Linked DNA regions of Schizosaccharomyces pombe. Changing the gene in region 1 together with any one later gene gives a genetic interaction. Each region holds a gene or a part of one and is shown in the gene's direction. Other genes may lie near its edges.

Evidence for each region.
Region 2: of hmt1 (region 1) and pcs2, extra expression of one rescues a mutant of the other (dosage rescue), as found in Schizosaccharomyces pombe (one study listed by BioGRID).
Region 3: mutations in hmt1 (region 1) and abc2 are lethal when combined (synthetic lethality), as found in Schizosaccharomyces pombe (one study listed by BioGRID).

Annotation. Positions count from the first base shown.
Region 1 is NC_003421.2:1,913,249-1,920,130, reverse strand, and holds hmt1 (vacuolar phytochelatin and glutathione S-conjugate ABC family transmembrane transporter Hmt1), read left to right. Parts: upstream 1-2,459; 5' UTR 2,460-2,588; coding exon 2,589-2,786; intron 2,787-2,908; coding exon 2,909-5,203; 3' UTR 5,204-5,375; downstream 5,376-6,882. Other genes in the region: mug24 (rrm type RNA-binding protein), read right to left, coding at 1-849; mdn1 (midasin), read right to left, coding at 5,474-6,882. UniProt on the Schizosaccharomyces pombe protein: Involved in metal tolerance. Probably involved in the transport of metal-bound phytochelatins. Compartmentalizes cadmium within vacuoles, thereby protecting cells from cadmium toxicity.
Region 2 is NC_003424.3:1,946,823-1,952,683, forward strand, and holds pcs2 (phytochelatin synthetase), read left to right. Parts: upstream 1-2,855; 5' UTR 2,856-2,933; coding exon 2,934-4,178; 3' UTR 4,179-4,686; downstream 4,687-5,861. Other genes in the region: vacuolar amino acid transmembrane transporter Avt3, read right to left, coding at 1-189, 238-932, 973-1,159, 1,224-2,119.
Region 3 is NC_003424.3:2,836,604-2,845,074, reverse strand, and holds abc2 (vacuolar phytochelatin and glutathione S-conjugate ABC family transmembrane transporter Abc2), read left to right. Parts: upstream 1-3,286; 5' UTR 3,287-3,370; coding exon 3,371-7,807; 3' UTR 7,808-7,954; downstream 7,955-8,471. Other genes in the region: SPOM_SPAC3F10.12C (transcription factor), read left to right, coding at 2,153-2,758. UniProt on the Schizosaccharomyces pombe protein: Involved in vacuolar sequestration of glutathione S-conjugates. Together with abc4, required for accumulation of a red pigment (ade pigment) in the vacuole of a mutant affected in the adenine biosynthetic pathway.

The DNA of each region.
Region 1 (6,882 bases):
AGGAGAAGGTCTAGCAAATGTCAATTTGAGTGGCCTACCATGAAAAATGAATCCACGAGGATGGTACCTTTCATAAAAGAAAAAGGCATCAGCAGAATCAAGAAATGTAATTATAATCCTGCGTTTTCCAGGGTTGGACTGAATCTTCTCTAATGGTCCAGAGTGGATAAGCGAAAGTAATTCGGAAATTTTGTAGTCAACTGGCAAGTTACCAAGGATTAAAGCACGAAAATCTAACAAGGATTCGTATTCTGAATTGAATGGTGAAAATTGCTCCGCAGGTTGTTGGGCAAACGGAGGAGGAGTACCTTCTCGAGGTAGGAAATTTGGACGGTTTACAGGTTTTGCATGATACATATTGTCGGTATAGTGGGCATAGGGCATCGGTATGAAGGTGTTTGCTGAAACATACATGTTGGGGTAATAGGTTGAAGGTGGAGAAGGATAAATGACTGAAGAAGAGTCCTGGTCAAAATGAGGATAACAAGGAGAATCGAGTTGTTCGGGAGGGGGATTCATTGATTTAGGAGCATACCCATTATGAGATTTCGGAATAAATTCTGCGGCATTGATGTTTACATGGAAAGAAGGATTAGGTGAAAGATTTTTGTGCTTTTTACCACCACAGTCAAGGTTGGTACATTCATTATTGTCCACTGAATTAAGACTACTGTTATCATCTTCTGAATCATTTAAAGTGCAAATGCTGTTGGCCGTGCCAGTACTTCCTGTCTCTTGAAAGCAGCAATCACTATCAACGAAGTGACCGTTGTTTGCTTGGTCTTTTTCAAGAACACGGTCGGTCTCAACTTCACTTCCGGCACAGCCAATTTTGTGCATAATAGCCATTATAGTGTTAAAAAAAAAGAATTGAGTGAGAATATGGATGCTTCAAAATATAGAGTGCTTTAGACTGATGAGTTTCGCTTCAAAATTAGTATCGATTTAAATGCTGTATTCGATGGTCAAAACTGGTGAGAGGGACACTTATTTATAGATAAAAAAAATCATATCGTGTCAAGTTTTCGTAACAGCTAAGCACCATTTCAAATGTAAACATTGCTATTTTCGCAAGCATTCCCCGCAAAGCTGTCCCACATTTCTTAAATAGAAGGACGAATCAAAAGGCACAAAGTTGCAACTCTAAAACGTCAGGATGGCCCACAAACGACGAATGCGACGGTAAATCCGCTGCCACTCTTCGCTAAAGTCGACGTAATGTACTTATTTTAGCGAGGCTTAATAGTTAAAATTACTTACGTCCAATCATAGTTGTCCCTTTAAGTTATTCGGTTCTTATTATGACTGCACAGTGACTACCACCAATTCCTCGCGAATAGTACAGTCATGATAAAGGGCTGGTAGACAGCCATTTCTAAGCCTTGAAATTACCTTTAATAAAAACCTCGAGAGCCAATAGACTTTTTGGGTGCAAGATTTACGATTAGCCAGCCTTCCCCCGCCTTTTAAACTGCCAGAGCAAAATTAAGAGTAGATAGGTATCCCCCATATCCCTTATACCGAGCAATGCAAATACTGATCCAAGGCAACAATACCATCAACCTTACGAAGAGTACTCAAAAATATTGTTAAAGAATTACGTATACTGTGTTAGATGCTTCAAATTGCCCGTCCACTTCTAGCATGATTGTTGCTGTTTTGAAGTTATCGACATTGTGGTTCATAAGGTTTTAGCTTCATAAAGCCTATTATATAATGTGATGCGTTTCGTTAGATAGTAAAAAAGTTCGGCTAGGGCTATACTTAATGCTTATTCATAAATTGGTGTAGACTGTATTCTGTCACAATGATGTACGTTGAGGCTTGATCTGATAAAAAAATTTGGAAAGAAAATAACGATGTCAGTAAGTTAAAAGTAGTTAAATTTGAAGTTCTTCTGAATATTTCAACCATTAATTAAAAATATTAATTTTAAAAAATAGAAGTCTTTAATGAGTTTATCATTTCTAGGCCGTTAGCGAAAGTCAGAGTTTGAAGGTGTGTTATGCAATTAAATATTGTAACTTTTGCTTGAAAGCCTCTTCAAATAAAAAGGATTTGTTACGTGTTTCTTTAAAACTTTTCGAAGGTTCCAGATACTAGGTTATTGCATTCAAGCTCATCAATTTTAGATTTGTATACCCAACATTGCCAGTCAACATCAAGTTCAGCCGCCTTTTATCTATATTTTAAGAAGACCCTTTACAAGTTGTTACTATGCCGTTGAAATTTGTAAAGCTTTCAATACAAGTAAGTACATTATTTGTTCCTCTATCGTGGCCGATGAAGGATGTATGCCTTAAGCTACGATCTTGTAAGGAGGTTAAGACTCTTAACAAAAAAAAAAGTTGAAACAAAATATACAAAATTCATACTGATTTTCTGCTTTCGAAAGGCTCCGTAAGTGGGGTAGTTTGGTACCGTATAGGAGGTATTCTTACCTCACCATTGTCACTCTTAACCTCTACACCACTTAACCTCAGTCAAACCAAATTAGCAATTGAAGCAGTAACAATTTAAAATTATCAAGTTACTTTTACCTAAAGTTTTATTAATCAAACTGGCATTTCTTTTTTGATTTTTTTGTAATGGTTCTACGTTACAACAGCCCACGCCTCAATATTCTTGAGCTGGTCCTTCTATATGTCGGATTTTTTAGTATTGGGTCCTTGAACTTACTGCAGAAAAGGAAAGCTACTTCTGATCCTTATCGTAGGAAAAATCGCTTCGGCAAAGAACCTATAGGAATAATTTCCTGGTGGATATTGGGAATTGCATTAACCTACGTACGTATTTCAAGCATTTTTCTTAAAAAATATATATATATATATATATAAGTATATTTTGAAAGAAAAATGTTTATGTTTAATTGTTTAACCTCGCTTCATATTGCTAATTTCATTTTTAGGTCGTTGATATCAGCAATCTTGTCATCTACGCATTGCGAGTTCCAAATTGGTGGCCCTGTAAAACCACTGTTGTCTGTTTAATTCTCTTCCTTTTATTTTGGATAATTGTACTTATCTCATGCGCAGATTCTAAAGCTCTTCCAAAAAATGCGGATTCCATACTAAAGGCCTACCGCCTTAGCGTCTTGTACGTTTGGGCTATAGACATTGTATTTGAAACAATTTTCATTGTCTACAGTCCTCATCCAAATGAAACATTTCAAGGAATTGTATTGGCGGACCATGTAGCCCGATTGGTCTTATGTGTTTTCGCTACAGCTATATATCTAACTTATAGACGAAAGAGACATACGCACGATCCCCTGGATTTTGAGGAGCGTCAATTAACAGAAGAGTCAAACGTTAATGAGAATGCTATCTCTCAAAATCCCTCGACCGTTCAGCTCGGTGTATCGGCATCAACCTCGAATTTTGGTACACTCAAATCAACATCGAAAAAACCTAGTGATAAATCTTGGGCAGAATATTTCCGTTCTTTCTCTACTTTACTTCCCTATCTCTGGCCGACAAAAGATTACCGACTTCAGTTTCAGATTTTCATTTGCATAGTTTTACTCTTTTTGGGGCGAGCTGTTAACATACTTGCTCCCCGACAACTGGGTGTGTTAACTGAAAAGCTCACAAAACATAGTGAGAAAATTCCTTGGTCTGATGTTATTCTATTCGTTATCTATCGTTTTTTGCAAGGAAATATGGGAGTAATTGGTTCTCTTCGATCTTTCTTATGGGTTCCTGTCTCTCAATATGCTTATAGAGCGATATCAACTAAGGCTTTGAGACATGTTCTAAACCTGTCATACGATTTTCATTTGAATAAACGTGCTGGTGAGGTTTTGACCGCCTTAACTAAAGGAAGTTCGTTGAATACGTTTGCAGAACAAGTTGTGTTTCAGATTGGGCCTGTTTTGTTGGATTTGGGAGTAGCCATGGTATACTTTTTTATTAAGTTTGACATTTATTTTACGCTTATTGTGTTAATTATGACACTTTGTTACTGTTACGTTACGGTCAAAATTACATCTTGGCGTACCGAGGCTAGAAGAAAGATGGTTAATAGCTGGCGCGAGAGTTATGCTGTGCAAAATGACGCGATTATGAATTTCGAAACCGTTAAAAATTTTGATGCAGATGACTTTGAAAATGAACGATACGGTCATGCTGTGGATATTTATCTTAAGCAAGAGCGGAAGGTACTATTTAGCCTTAATTTTTTAAATATCGTTCAAGGTGGAATATTTACATTCAGCTTGGCAATTGCTTGTCTATTAAGTGCTTATAGAGTAACATTCGGCTTTAACACTGTCGGTGATTTTGTCATACTTTTGACATACATGATTCAGCTACAGCAGCCTCTTAATTTTTTCGGAACTTTATATCGTTCATTGCAAAATAGCATCATCGATACAGAAAGACTACTTGAAATTTTTGAGGAGAAACCTACTGTGGTGGAGAAACCAAATGCCCCAGATCTTAAAGTCACTCAAGGTAAGGTAATATTCTCTCATGTTTCATTTGCATATGATCCACGAAAACCTGTTTTATCAGATATCAATTTTGTTGCACAACCAGGAAAAGTTATTGCGTTAGTGGGAGAATCAGGTGGTGGGAAATCTACAATTATGAGAATTCTTTTACGATTCTTCGATGTCAACTCGGGATCCATAACCATTGATGATCAAGACATACGAAATGTTACGTTGTCTAGTCTTCGATCTTCAATAGGTGTAGTTCCCCAAGATAGTACCCTTTTTAATGATACTATTCTTTACAATATTAAATATGCTAAACCTTCTGCGACCAATGAGGAGATTTATGCTGCTGCTAAGGCTGCTCAAATTCACGATCGTATATTACAATTCCCAGATGGTTATAATTCTCGTGTCGGAGAAAGAGGCTTAAAGTTAAGCGGTGGTGAAAAACAACGTGTAGCAGTTGCCAGAGCTATCTTAAAAGATCCTTCAATTATCCTTCTCGATGAAGCTACTTCTGCTCTGGACACAAATACTGAGCGACAAATCCAGGCAGCCTTGAATAGACTTGCATCTGGCCGAACTGCTATAGTAATCGCTCACAGGCTCTCCACCATCACCAATGCAGACTTAATTCTTTGTATTTCGAATGGTAGAATCGTTGAGACTGGCACACACGAAGAGTTAATAAAGCGTGACGGCGGAGCTTACAAAAAAATGTGGTTTCAACAAGCAATGGGAAAAACTTCTGCTGAAACTCATTAATCTAAGCATAATAACAAGCCTTTACTAATTTTGGTAGTTATGACTAATTTAAAAGGAGAATTAAAATACACTAACTTTGATTGTGAGTAATGCTGCTCCTTTCACAGAAACATTATGGTACTAAAAATTTTATCACTAAATTCCATACCAATGAATTTCTATTATTAATTAATTTATTAAATCGTAGTATGTATAAGTACCAAAAATAATCCCAAAACCTAACCCGATTATTTTTTTCTGCAAGTCTTAACTGCAAAGCTTTTGTACAATTTAAGTATTACTCATCTGCTGAAACCATTGACGAAGTGCAGAAGACAAAAGTTGCGGCAATTCTTCGATGTTACGAACCACCAAATAGTAATCAAAAGCAAACTCATCTATATATGGCTGAATTTTTAAATCCATAGTACCATCTTCTTTAGTGTCGTAGTAAACCTTTTTAATATCAAGGATGGACGACTTTTTCTGGGTGTTAACATTGTCAAGAATAACAAACACAATCATCACTTTTTCTTCTTGAGCACGCCTTAGCAGTTTCCGAATGCTATCATGATCTTCACAAATACCGTCTGAAATTATGATTTCTAACTGCCTTATGTCCGAGTTAGATCTATGATGGGAAGCCGTATTGGCATAGTTAAAGCATTTCATAGAAGCATCGGCGAGAGCCAAAACATTGGTATTACTTTGCTCAAATGTAAAATGCGAAAACATTTGTACACCACTTTCAGATGAAAACTGTTTGTCGAAAGGATGCAACAATTCAGGTTGCTCCCCAAATTTCATCACTGCAATTTGTCCAACTTCAAGTAATGATAATGCTTTTGTTACCAAAGCTAAAGTCTCTAACGCTAGAACTGTGCTGCCCGACTCACTCATCGACTTAGAATCATCAATGGAAATCATCACTTGATACGTCCTTTTACTAGGTTTAACACGACGCATCCATATCTTGTCTTTCTTGAACTGAGAAGCAATATATGGGATGATTCGTTTCATATTCAACCGTTTACCCGTACGAAAGTCTCCTTGCATCTTAGTGGCCAAGGTTGGTTCTAATATCAATCGAAGCTGTTCACATAACTCAATAGAAAGTTGCTTTGTAGAGTCCTCGTGTTTATTCCATAAATCACGAGCTTCATCAATGGGCATTGCAGCAGGAAGGTTAGTAATCTTCACATTATAATCAGGAAGTTCATCTTCAATATCCTCATCCTCCGATAATTCAAAAACCTTCTCAGACTGGTTGATAGACCCAAATTCCGTTGGAAGGGTATCTTCACCAGTCTGCTTGATATCTGAAATATCCTGACCATCTTGTAATTGTTTGTCTCCAACTTCATCAGCTTCATCTTCAGCAATGTTTGTACTGTTCATTGAGTCTGGATTCTGATTAGCAGACTCATCTCGATCAATACTCTTAATTTGATCTTTTTCGGCATTTCCCAAAGCTTGCAAATCCTCTTCCTCATCCTCTTTAACATGCATAAATTCAGAATCGTCAAATGCTTGACTTTGCGATTCAGTAAGATCCTCCCATTCGTGAATACGATTGGCCTGTTGCCATTCTCTAAGATGATCACCAAGGCTTTGATATTGTCGATCCGCCTCACTCATTGCTTCTTTAGGGGTTGAAGTGTCTTCCCCTTTCTGAACTTGCTCTGCTGATGAAAATTCTC
Region 2 (5,861 bases), on another chromosome or scaffold:
AAAAATGTCATGTACGTAGTGAAAGCCATTGCGAAGGCACCAATAGTAAACATAAAAATATCAAGAGTACGTAAAATCCAATTATTTGCACAAGCCTTATAATGTAGCATCGGCGGATACATATAGATAAGCGGTATGCAACAGACGCTACCTACCATACTTACAAATAAATCAAGACGTGAAGATCCACTAAATTGTTAGCAAATGAAGAAATAAAAAAAAAAAGGAAAAACGTACGCCCAAGATATTAGGATAGCTAGAATAACAATTAAGACACGAAGATAATTCTTCCTCCATTTAATTTTTCTGTTTCTTTTACCGCTTCTAGTGAAAATTCCCTGTTCAATGATAGCAATTGCAGGAAACAATTGCAATGGGGTACTAAGCAAAATTGCAATAGCATACAAGAATTGGATAATAACGGTGAAAGTACTCTCTGGCATATTCAAAATAACCACCGTTTTGACCTTTGAACCAAAAGCAGCGTAAGACAGCAACCCAATAGAAATAAACAAGAGAGAGATCGCTGCCATCACACCTGTGAGGAGCTTAGGTAAATTCTTTGGTTTAGCCATCTGTTCTTGGATAGGCAATATCAAACAAATTCCTTCGTAAGTAAAAATGGCAACACCAATAAATAAACTAAAATCAGTTTTGTTAAACATTGCAACATCGGCTATTCCTTTAGTGGCTAGCGTAATCACGTCCCAGAAATACAAATATAATATCCCTAGCAAAATAAAAACATCAGCAATTAAAGCAGTAGCAGAAAGTTTTGATATCTTGCGAACGAGCGATAGAGGGACAAATACCAAAAACTGAATAAAAATGAAAACAGCTAAATGGTATTCTCGGTGAGTAGTGGATATAACTTTTACACATGCTTGTAATGTGCTAGCAACAAACGAAATATAAGCACTCGAAAATCCAATCTTAATGCATTTAGTAAAATATTTAAATTTAAAAACTTACCTGTGAAACCACGATAGAAGCAAGAATAGCAAATCGCATATGAGGACCATATAAAGTTCCCCCAATATCACCAAAACTTCCAGGTACCTTCATTCGAGTCTGAATGAGAAGTAAGAAGCAAATATGAGACAATACTCCCACAATAAGAAGGGTCGCACTTGAAAATACCAATCCACCTAATTTAAAGCTAGACATCGGTTAATATTCTAGGAAATAATAAAATAAAAAAACGTTAATTCCATAAAACTTACGCTTTGGGAAGAAAGAGTACACCGGTACCAACAAATGACTTTAAAAGTAGAAGTACAGCTTTTCCGTTTGAAGCATTTCCAGGCGTCTGTAGTTTGTAACGTCCATGACGAGAAATCAAAGGTTCTTGCTCAGAGGGAACAGTAGAATGAATCAAAGAAGGATTAACGTCTCGAGGCATAGCAAAGTCGTCTGTATCCTCATCTTCATCTTCTTCGCTAAGTTCTTCACCTGCAAAGTGACCGTAAACAGAGAGGAACTCAATAAAGTTGCGATTTAAAAAATTGGGATTACCATGAGCATTACTGCTCATCGAAATGCTACTGGCACGATTACGAAGAAAATCACGTCTCATTCCACCAGCTTGTTTCATATCCTGAACACTTCGCAAATGAAGATTGGGGTCAGAAACCTTTGCACTAAACGAGCGAGAACGACCACGACGAATCTGCTTATTTTGATCTACTTCCTGTTGCCAACGATACACCTGGCGGTGCATATCACCGCCTTGAAGCTGAAGAGAAGAAAAATTATCATCATCTGCGGCTTGTCCACCTAAATGACGGCGAACAACATCGGGGTCTTCAGATGTACTGGGAACATTCTCGGAATGAGCTTCATCTGAATTTAGAGTTACATCTTTTCCTTTCCTAGAGTTGTGATTTTCGTCTCTGATAGATCCGTAGTTTACAGGTGTATCTGTCGTGTTCTCAGCAACATTGTTTGGCAAATTTGACTCAGAAGGGGAAATATTTAATTTAGGCTTGTGGAATCCTTCAGCCATGGGGGAATGGGACAATCGATGAATTTGCTGAGAGCGACGACTAGAGTAGGAACCAGAAGCGAAATTCTCGTTAGAACGAGGTTTCTTTATTTTTATAGACTGACTATTACTCATTCTAATTGAGGAAAGCAGCTAGCATAAGAACTTTTCAAGAAATCAGTGTAAGTACTGCAAATAATATGTAACGTAAAAATGAAATTTTCCAATAATAATAAGAAAAACAATGAAAAGTTAGCTAACGATATCAAGAAGGAAACTACAAAAAAAAAATATGTAAGACCCAAAGTATCTGTGCTGGGTAGAACCCACTTTTCATTATGCTGACAGTCTTCTGACGATGTTACTTTGAGCAATAAGTCACAGGTAAATTGTAGAAATATCCAGCCCGGACTGATTGTTGGTAATGGAGGAACTTAAATACAACTTCTTATTTTGATAACTTATATATAAGATATGTGTAAGTCAAGATATGTGAGTGGGGATATATACTTCCATTTCTTTCTCCTTTATTTAATATACAACAGACTTAATTTCATCTCTTTTAGCTCACTTGCAGTATATTCATCTTAGTTAAATAGATGTGTTTTTCAATTTGATCATTTTAAAGTTGCTTTTGCTTTTACATCTCATTTCCCTATTGTGTTCATTCAATGTCCTTCATTAACGACTAAAAATGAAAATAGTAACTTTACATCTAATATTCTAATGTAAAATAAACTAAACGAAAAAAGATACATACTGCTTGTTTAAAGGCACAAGGAATTAAATTACTTGATATTCGGTTATCGGTTAAGGCAAAATGGATTAGTTCGTACTTCTAAGTACCACCTTTTTTGCTTGCAGTCTACTTAACTTTCAACAAAACAAATTTGGTAACACAGTCTTTTTTGAAAATCACTCTTTTAAAAAAAGCAAAGGGTTATTTTGTATGAACATTGTTAAACGAGCAGTCCCAGAATTACTGAGAGGAATGACCAATGCAACACCAAATATCGGTTTGATTAAAAACAAGGTAGTAAGCTTTGAAGCTGTCGGACAACTCAAAAAATCTTTTTACAAAAGACAATTGCCTAAACAATGTTTAGCTTTTGATTCATCTCTCGGTAAAGATGTTTTTTTACGAGCATTGCAAGAGGGACGGATGGAAAATTATTTTTCGCTTGCACAGCAGATGGTAACCCAAAACGAACCAGCTTTTTGTGGATTGGGAACTCTCTGCATGATTCTTAATTCGCTTAAAGTTGACCCGGGTAGATTATGGAAGGGATCTTGGCGCTGGTATGATCAGTATATGCTTGATTGTTGTCGATCGCTAAGCGATATTGAAAAAGATGGTGTTACGCTAGAAGAGTTCTCTTGTTTAGCTAACTGCAATGGCCTTCGGACTATTACGAAATGTGTCAAAGATGTTAGCTTTGATGAATTTCGGAAAGACGTAATCTCTTGTTCTACCATTGAGAATAAAATTATGGCAATTTCATTTTGCCGGAAAGTGCTCGGTCAAACAGGCGATGGACATTTTAGTCCAGTTGGAGGCTTCAGTGAAAGTGATAACAAGATATTAATATTGGACGTTGCTCGATTTAAATATCCTTGCTACTGGGTGGATTTGAAGCTCATGTACGAGAGTATGTTTCCTATCGATAAAGCTAGCGGCCAACCTAGAGGCTATGTACTTTTAGAGCCAATGCATATTCCTTTAGGTGTGCTTACAGTCGGTTTAAACAAGTACAGCTGGCGAAACGTTTCCAAGCATATACTGCAGCAGGCGGCAACGGTAAAAAACGCAGACAATTTGGCTGAAATACTTTTATCCATTAATCAATCATCAATTCCTCTAATCCAAGAACGCTCCAACAGTTCAAAGTCTGGTGATTTCGAGCATTTTAAAGAATGTATTAGAAGCACAAAAACATATCATTTATTTCTGAAACATACGAATACCAATGTTGAATATATCACTATGGCTTTTTGGGCTATATTTTCCTTACCCATGATCCAAAAAGCGCTTCCCAAAGGCGTTCTAGAAGAGATTCAATCTTTATTGAAAGAAGTTGAAATTTCCGAAATTAACACTCAACTAACTGCGTTGAAAAAACAGCTTGATAGTTTAACCCATTGTTGTAAAACTGACACTGGGTGTTGTAGTTCAAGCTGCTGTAAAAATACGTGAATACTGGTAGAGATGGATATTTCTTCTCGTTGCTTATGAACTCAAAAAGTTTACATAGAGCCATGAACAAATTTTTTACAATTATTATTATTATTTTTGTTGTTGTTATTGTTACGCATTTATTTTATATTAAGGTCAATTCTAGAGAAAAGTATTACGCTCGTGCTTTCGTTTATAATCCAATCATTTCTTTTTTTTTGTGTGGTGTTGTTTTTCTGTCCATTCTAATTGAAGTGTAATGGTTTTCTAAGGCTAGTAATTTTATTTTATTTCAGGAACAATGGTTGAAAAAATCAATTATTCCGAATCAAACAGATTACAAAACAAAAACGATGCGTACTTTTAACAACTTTAAACAAGCAAGGAAGACAAATGAACAAAATTCTTCTCTGAAAACAGCGAGTAACTATGAAAGAGAGTGATCCGGTTGCATTAGAAATTAATAATTAGAGCGGTTTATTTGTGTTTGTATATGCACCATTGTCGTTGATTAATTACAACCCAGCATTGAGTAACTAGCATGTGCATGCAGTGAATACGGAAGTTAGTTTAACCAATAACTGCTAAAATAAAGACCCAAAGATTTTTTATTTTAAATCGAGAAAAACAAAAGCATAACTTAAAATTTATTATCAAATCGATGTACATACCCACTGCTCTTAACAAATAAGGGGATAGCCTTTCCTTTATATGGCCCCCACAAGGGACTTTATGAATATTGGATGCAGCTAGGAAATGTTAGGACAACCCCCACTCATGTTGATACAGCGATTTCGAGTAAACTGAGGGTAGCAGAACTAGTACTCGCAACCCCTATGCTCTCTCCCCCACATAGCCCCTTAAAAAAGATGGGAGATTGTTTTTAAAGACAAACACGAAACAACCCGAATGATGCGTCAAATTAGCTGGTTACCTATATGGAAAAACAACTTTGAAGCAGTGCTACTTATTCCTTCCAAAATTCATCCATACGCATGAATTTGAACGCATTAGAAATACTGATACGTTGGTCATGGTTGTGTTTTGAGTAATATGTAGCAGTATGACAATGCAACGCTTTCAATTTAATAATTCAAATATTGTTTTTCGTAATTGTGCAGAAACGAGGATTGAAAAACTCACAGAAAAAAAATAAAAATAAATCATACTAAATTAAATTAAATTAAATGTTCAGAAACGAAAATCACAAAGAATCCGAGAAACGCAACATTACAAGGTAAGGAGTTAAAAGATTGTATTACGACTTGGTTAGATTCAAGAGATCCATTATTAGTATATGTATTTACAAGTGTATGTGTATATGTACGTACATATTTTGCGCACCAGTTAGTTTGCGACTTATCTGATTAGTTTGTGCCACTCCTTGTAGTTTACATTCACCCACTTGCACGACTGTTTTTTTGTCAATGTTTAAATCCTTGTCACATCAACCAAAATAAAGTTATAAAAAAAAATACCATAGCGAAATATGTTACATTATAGAACGCTGTTAATTTTACCTCTCTGAAAATCAATTACCCTTCCCCCAAGGACCACTGCGAAGGCTCTGTTGGCGATATCAGCAAGTCTCGCTATTAGCAGACTGCCTTGGTCTGTTAAGATAAAAGTTAGAAAGCCATGCTTAGTGGGGAAGCCGTTCGAACAGTCAGTAGTGGCGATGCCAACTATATGAGCCATTTTTGC
Region 3 (8,471 bases), on another chromosome or scaffold:
TGTATTCGCTTCATTCATGTATGATTGCAATAATGGTATTGAAACTTCTACACGCAAAAAAATATAACGTATAGTCATATTAAATTTAGTAAATTGTTTTGTGTTGCATCAGGAAAATAAAACGGTTGCTTTGCTAAATATGTAATACGTTTTGATAATATATTCCTTTGCTAATACAGAGAATTGGTTTTTTAAAAATTTGGTTACCTACTGTTTGCCGCTTTTTACTATTTTTGACTGTTCGTTTTAACACATCTTTCCTTTAATAACTTATCATTTTAGGACGTTTAGTTGTAACAAGTTAAACTAAAAGAATCGACTTAACAATAGCTCTTGTAGCTCAGTGGTAGAGCGCTTGCCTAGTAAGCAAGAGGCCCAGTGTTCGAGTCACTGCTGGAGCAATGCTTTTTTATCGACTTATTTTACACTTCGTACTAAGTTATGAAGTGTTCACTTTCGTAACCTAGTTTATCTTTCCGTTAGAACACCGTTAAGTTTCTTGCGATCTTCTATTTTCGTTATGTAAGGTAGTATGAACAGTTCAATTGTAGTTCATCCAAAGGAATATGCTATTATAAATTATGATTGAAATATCTGAAAGGAAGAAGGGAAACCAATTGGGTACCTTTTATAATTTGTAATTAGTTATCTTTCGGCTCGCAAATCCATTATCAACATCATCTCTTAGTTACAGTGAATAGGTAAATTTATAACGTGCGATGTAGTGATGCAGTACAGTGTAGTCTGCTATTGCTAACAGTTATTAGATTTTAGGATATTCATATGCCGTTTGCAACAAACATATGACAAGCAATATTAAATCATAGAATGGAGCTGGTACGACAAATTAAGCTAAGTAAGCAACGATTAGTTAACATTTCTCTTTCTACAACATTATTTATTACATCTGTACTTCTCATACTTCATGCATACGGCTTTATAGTTACAATAAAACTCATCGCATTTAAATGTAATGTAGTAAAATTACTACACTACATTATGTTATACGTTGTGTATCACTGTATATCACACGTACTAATTATATATAGTACCATAAATGGTACTATATTGAGGCTGATCTTAGTGATAATCTAAAGTTCTATATTATCTGAATACTATAAAGGGACATAGATGAAATGAGAAACGAGGTTCAGTTATAAATTACATTAGTGATAGATAACAAATATAACCTACATAATAGAATACCTAACTCAGATGCTACAAATATTACCTGTGTGTTGCAATATAGTAGTCAGAAGGAAAACTCAACGCAGTTTTGCATATCGTTAAATAGATATCAAACTGCGTAGCTGACACTAAATAAAAATAAAGTAGGTTTGGTAAATGCGTTGTTTTTAATTAAACGAGGGCAGCGTAGCCCTTCCTTAAGTGATTCTACTTAGTAATATCAACGCGGTTTACAGACGTGTTTTATCAACAATGAACCTCGCTTCATGTTAAAAGTTTGATGTGAATTGCTTTTTTGAGCTATTTGAACATTTAAGTGCTTTTTAAAATACATTTGCTACTCTTCTTTTAAGTTTGGTAATTAAGAGTGCAATATTTTATCACGCTTGTCAATGTTAGGGATCCGTGAAGTGCCTTTGATTACCACTATCATTTTGCAACATTATTTTTAAACATTCCATTAGAAAGAACAGGAAAAAGTTCTTTGAACTAATTGAACACCTGTTTCACCCTTTGCGACTGATAGCAGTTCGTTTTAATTTTTTTAATTTGAGTTGATGCGAAAATCAACGCTTTAATTTTGGACAGCCTTTAAGCACAATCATCGTTTATTCTATATTTATTTTTTTTATTCCTGTTTTACATATCTAACGTTTTGGAATTTTTTTAAACTTCCAGTCTTCAGAAACCTTTTATCTATTTATCCTTAGAATCCCATTTATCAAGATACTCTTGTCAAGCTACTATATGTACTCATAAACTACCTTGTGTTTTCATCTCTTTACTAGACTGTTCATTCTCCCTTATCATTACATTGCTGGTTTACTACGAAAGTGTTCAAATACATTGGCTGGATTCATCAGCGGTAACACTTCAATCATTACATTATCTTCATGCTTGTAAAAAATTCATTTCTATTATAGAAATTTTCTTTGTTTTATGAGATAATAAATTCGGCTAGAAAATGCAAAGAGATATGTCCATAAATCATCTGCTTCCTCCTTTATCAGGACCAGGACAAGTCGAACAACTCACAGGTTTTACTAATGACATAGTTTATAACGATTTTTATGCTCATGCCGTTAGTTATAATCCTTATCCCTCTGAAAAGATTGATTTTCCCAAGAAAAATACAGCCCATAAAAATTCCACGACTTCAACGGTAGCTTCTAGTGGTAATACGACTATGGAAAAACCATGTGTTGGAAGCGAGGAATGGTATAAAGCTAAAAGATTAAGTCACAAAGAAGTAGAGCGTAGAAGAAGAGAAGCCATAAGTGAGGGAATTAAAGAGTTGGCGAACATCGTTCCTGGATGTGAGAAAAATAAAGGTAGTATCCTTCAAAGGACTGCTCAATATATTCGATCCCTTAAAGAAATGGAGGAAATGTGTCGTGAAAAATCAAATTTGGAGAAACTTGTTGCTGATCATACTATTCAAGAACTAGCTAGGGAGAACGCACGGTTAAAATCGGAATGCGAACGTGCATGGCGCAGTGTTGAGCTTTGGAAGCAAGCTGCTAGGAGTTTTGATTCAGAACTTGATGTAGAAGAGAATAGTGAATCGTAAAATAACTCTCCTTTTCTAATGCAATTATTTCCCTATCATTTTTTGCATTTTTTTATATATTTCCATTTACTTTGATCCTACTTTCCCTTGAGGTCCACGTTTATAGTCTAACTATATGGTTTACAATACTTTTAACTTATATACATATTTTATTTTCAACTTACATTGCATAGTAATTTAGAATCTGAATTTAATCTGATTAGAAATTGCTTTGAAGTTACCATGACTGTAAAACTTGTTTTTAAAGGTTTAAGAAACATTTGTTTACAGTGAATATCATTAGATTAAAAATCATAACTGTCAAAACCATATTTAATATGTAGATTCGTTTTGTGAAAGGTTAGTCAATTCAACGATGAAATTATAAACTCATTAGATAGATTAAAATATATTAAGGGATTCCATTAATATATCTAGTTGCTCATAAAAATTTAGTAATATTTTGTTGTTAGTTACTGAATCGAAATGTATTACGAACATGTTCATTCATACCACCACAAATTTATACTTTGTAAGCCACTTATCTTCAGCCAACACTCTTCAGGTTTTGTTACATTCGCAGGAAATAACTGTTTCAGGGAATTTGAATCAGTTTAATACTGTATTATCAAAATGGTTCTTGAACAGGATTTAGATCCTTTTGTAGGTGGAAATTGGATGAATTCTGCTTACAAAGGATTCACATTTCTATCGGCAACTTGGCTTGCTCCAAACATTTACCTTCTTATCAGTGGATGTCTGCAGTACTTCTATGAGGTTAGAAAAAGGTCTCATTATTTTCATTTTCGAAGATTTTGGACAATATGGCTGAAGTCTTTAGTTATTATGGTTCTCCTTTTCACCCATATTTATGACTGTTATAAAACGAATGAAAGTGTATGGAATGTATTAAGCATTATAACTTATTTTCTTGCTTTGTTTTTGCATGTTGTGGAGCAGCCTACGTTGCGAATACCTATGGCCTCTTTGTTGATGTTTTGGCTTTTTAAGTTTTTAGCCTCGGCTCTGGTTTTATTACTTCGTCCTAATTATACAATGTTCCCTATGCTTAACGTAGTTCCCTCCATTACTTTTTTTTGCTCATTGGTATGCCTTCTAGCTGAAATCTACGTGCCTCCTGCCAACCGAGTTTGGTATCCCGATGATGCAGCTGAGTTGGAAGAGACTGGATTAAGACCATCTCGGTTTACCTATGCCAACATTTTTTCAAGGATATCATTTGGTTGGCTTAGCCCTCTTATGAAGTTTGGTTACAGAAATTATCTTACTGAATCAGATGCTTGGTCTCTTCCTCCTGCCGAACGTTCCAGCAATCTGACTATTGTTTTTGAAAAGAATTGGATTTCCCATGCAAAAAAGAAAAAAAGTAGTCTTTACATGTGGGGTGTTTTGTTTTTAAACCATTGGAAGCTTACCGTTGTTATTATCGTTTTGAAGTTGGTGCAAGACGTTGTAGCGTTTATTCAGCCAAATTTAATTAGGAAGATTGTTATTTTTGTTAGCTCCTATTCTTCTGAGCATCCACAACCTCCTCAAGTAGGTTTCAGTCTTGCAATCGCTATGTTTTTAACCAACGTCGTACAAACCGCATTGTTACAACAATATTTCCAACTTGGCATGGTACTTGGCATGAGATGGAGGTCCGAATTGATTACTGCTATCTATCGCAAATCCTTACGTCTCTCAAGTGCGGCTCGTCAAAGTCGATCTGTTGGAGATATCGTAAATTACATGTCTGTCGACACTCAAAAAGTTTGTGATTTAACTATGTTTTTGTTTGTTATTGTATCGGGTCCTTTCCAAATTGTACTAGCTCTCACAAATTTGTACCATCTTGTAGGATACGGTGCGCTCTCTGGGGCTTTTGTGACATTCTTACTATTTCCTTGTAATGTTGTGATTGCAAGTATCTTTAAAAGGTTTCAAAATAGACAAATGAAAAATAAAGACGCACGTTCTCAGTTTATGACTGAAATTATTAACAATATTCGCAGCATTAAGTTGTATGCTTGGGAAAACATATTCCTTCAAAAATTGCTGCAGTTAAGGAATACCAGAGAATTGCGCATGTTGAAAAAGATTGGAATTGTCAACACTATTGGCAACTTTACCTGGCTTTTTGCTCCTATTCTTGTATCAGCCGCAACGTTTGGTACTTTCATTGTTCTGTATGGAAAGACACGTGTGCTTTCAGTTGATATAGTCTTTGCTTGTTTGAGTCTTTTCAATTTGTTACAATTTCCGTTAACCATGTTGCCTATTGTTGTCAGTTCAGTTTTAGAGGCATCTGTTGCTATTTCTCGTATCTATGGGTTTCTCACTGCAGGTGAATTGGACTCCAACGCTGTTCAACGCTACCCAGCTAACAAAGAACCATCCGGAGTTTGTTTAGAAATTAAAAAGGGTACATTTAGTTGGTCCGGTCCTGGACAAAATGCCGCAGAACCTACTTTACGTGATATTGATTTTGTGGCTAGAAGGGGTGAGCTATGTTGCATAGTTGGTAAAGTTGGAATGGGTAAATCATCTTTGCTTGAAGCTTGTTTGGGCAACATGCAGAAGCATTCTGGCTCCGTGTTCCGCTGTGGTTCCATCGCGTATGCAGCTCAGCAACCCTGGATTTTGAATGCTACTATTCAGGAGAATATCCTCTTTGGCCTTGAACTGGATCCTGAGTTTTATGAAAAAACCATTCGTGCTTGTTGTTTGTTGCGTGATTTTGAGATACTTGCTGATGGAGATCAAACGGAAGTTGGCGAGAAAGGTATATCTTTATCTGGAGGTCAGAAGGCACGTATTTCTCTTGCTCGTGCTGTTTATTCTCGCTCAGATATTTATCTTCTTGATGACATTTTATCTGCTGTTGACCAGCATGTTAATAGAGATTTAGTTAGGAATCTTTTAGGTTCAAAAGGTTTACTCAGATCACGATGCGTTATTCTTTCAACTAACTCCTTAACCGTTTTAAAAGAAGCCAGCATGATTTATATGTTAAGAAATGGTAAAATAATAGAGAGTGGAAGCTTCACTCAATTATCTTCTTCGCCAGACTCCCAATTGTTTCAATTACTTTCGGAATTTAGCAAGAAGGATACCGCATCATCTACTGGAGCCGATACTCCTCTCTCCCGTTCTCAATCTGTAATTACTTCTTCTACCGATGTCACGAGTTCAGCTAGCCGTTCTTCTGACACAGTTAGCAATTATCCAAAGGCCACCATAAAAGGAACAGGTAGGATCCGTAAAAGGTTAACCGACGAGGACAATGTCAAAGCTACTGGACAAGCTGCTGAGAAAATGGAACGTGGTAAGGTAAAGTGGAAAGTATACTGGACGTACTTTAAAGCGTGCTCTTTGTTTTTAATCTTCTTGTATTTCCTTTTCATTATTGGTGGTATTGGTATGAATGTTGGTACTAATGTTTGGCTTAAACATTGGAGTGAGGTAAATACACAATTAGGTTATAATCCTAAACCATACTTTTACTTGGGTATATACACATTGTTTGGTCTTCTTTCTTGTGCATTGATTTCTCTTAGCAGCTTAACCATTACCGTGTTTTGTGCTATTAAAAGCTGTCGTTATCTACATGATTCAATGGTAAAGGCGGTTTTGCGTGCTCCCATGAGCTTTTTTGAAACCACGCCAACTGGTCGAATATTAAACCGATTTTCCAGCGATGTTTACCGTGTGGACGAAGTTATTTCTAGAGTTTTTATGTTTTTCTTCAGAAATCTCTTTCAAATAGTTTTCGTACTAGCAGTTATTTGCTATTCTTCTCCTATGTTTATGATCCTAATTGTTCCATTATTCTTTCTGTATCGTTACAATCAAGTTTATTATACTCAAACTTCTCGAGAGCTAAAAAGGCTTGATAGCGTTACTCGCAGTCCTTTATATGCTCATTTCCAAGAGTCTTTGGGTGGGTTGTCAACTATTCGTGCTTATGACATGGAAGATACATTTATCTCGGAGAACGATATTCGTGTTGATACCAATCACCGAATTTGGTTCTTGTACTTCAGTTCAAATAGATGGCAGGCAATTCGTGTTGAAGCAATAGGCGCTTTGGTGGTATTTTCATCTGCATTTTTTGGAGTTCTCTCCGCAGTCCGTGGAAATCCTAATTCTGGTTTAGTGGGTCTTTCGTTGTCTTATGCCGTACAGATTACCCAAAGTTTAACCTTTGTCGTAAGACAGTCTGTTGATGTAGAAACAAACATTGTTTCAGTCGAACGAATGCTGGAATACATTGGTCTTCCAAGTGAGGCACCCTCCATTATTCCAGATCATCGTCCTCCAGAAGGATGGCCTTCCCATGGTGCAATTAAATTTGATCACTACAGTGTCAGATATCGTGAAAATCTTCCACTAGTCCTAAACGATATAAGTGTTAACATTAAACCACAAGAAAAGATTGGTATTGTCGGTCGTACAGGAGCAGGAAAGTCGACTTTGACGCTTGCATTGTTTAGATTAATTGAGCCAACATCAGGAGACATACAATTGGATGATATCAATATTACTTCGATTGGATTACACGATTTACGCTCCAGACTTGCTATTATCCCACAAGAAAATCAAGCTTTCGAAGGTACAATTCGTGAGAATCTCGATCCTAATGCTAATGCTACCGATGAAGAGATTTGGCATGCTCTCGAAGCTGCTTCCTTAAAACAATTCATCCAGACTCTTGACGGCGGGTTGTATTCCCGTGTTACAGAAGGAGGAGCCAATCTTTCGTCAGGCCAACGCCAGCTGATGTGCTTGACAAGGGCATTATTGACACCCACACGCGTATTATTATTAGATGAAGCTACTGCAGCTGTTGATGTTGAAACAGATGCTATTGTGCAACGCACAATTCGTGAACGCTTTAACGATCGTACCATTTTGACCATTGCTCACCGTATTAATACTGTGATGGATTCGAATCGTATATTAGTATTGGATCATGGTAAGGTAGTCGAATTTGATTCAACGAAAAAGCTGCTGGAAAATAAAGCATCTTTGTTTTATTCCCTCGCAAAAGAGAGTGGACTTATTTGAGTTCACAGGTCGTTTGCTAATTTAAAATGCTTCTAATTAATTTTATGAAAATCCCGAAACTGTTATTCCTAAGCAAATTCTCATTTTGTTAGATTTACAAGTTACTGGTTTCTTGGTAATTTATATACTATTTTTTCTCAACTTGCTAAAAGACAATTTATCCGAATCATGTTATATTTTTTCTTCCCTTGTATTCAGCATATCTCTGTTTCGAAAAAAGCATGCACGCTGCTCACTTACAAGATAACCTTTTGTTGAAAAGGAAGATTTATTAACTATATATGATTGAAGATTTTTTCTTTTCAAAGGATATATAAGTTCTGCAAAGTTTCCTAAAAAAATCTTTCTTTTTTGTTTCTTACACCTTTTGACATTTATATTGGAGCCTAACGTTTTGCCGCTTTGATATCATTTATCCGTTGATTTTAGAAAAAAAAGTTAGGAAGAGTTGTTACCGATTTTTTCCTTCTTTTTATGCCAATATTCACTTCATCAGATTTAATTTGGCTACTTTTTTTTTCGTAACCTACTATAGTTATCTCATTATAGAATGAAATGAAACTCTATTATTATGTAGTTAAAATCAATGATAAGCACTGTATTAAAGTTTAAGAGAAAATCGCGAATTCCTTTTGATGTCCTTTTCTCAAAGGATACAAACACG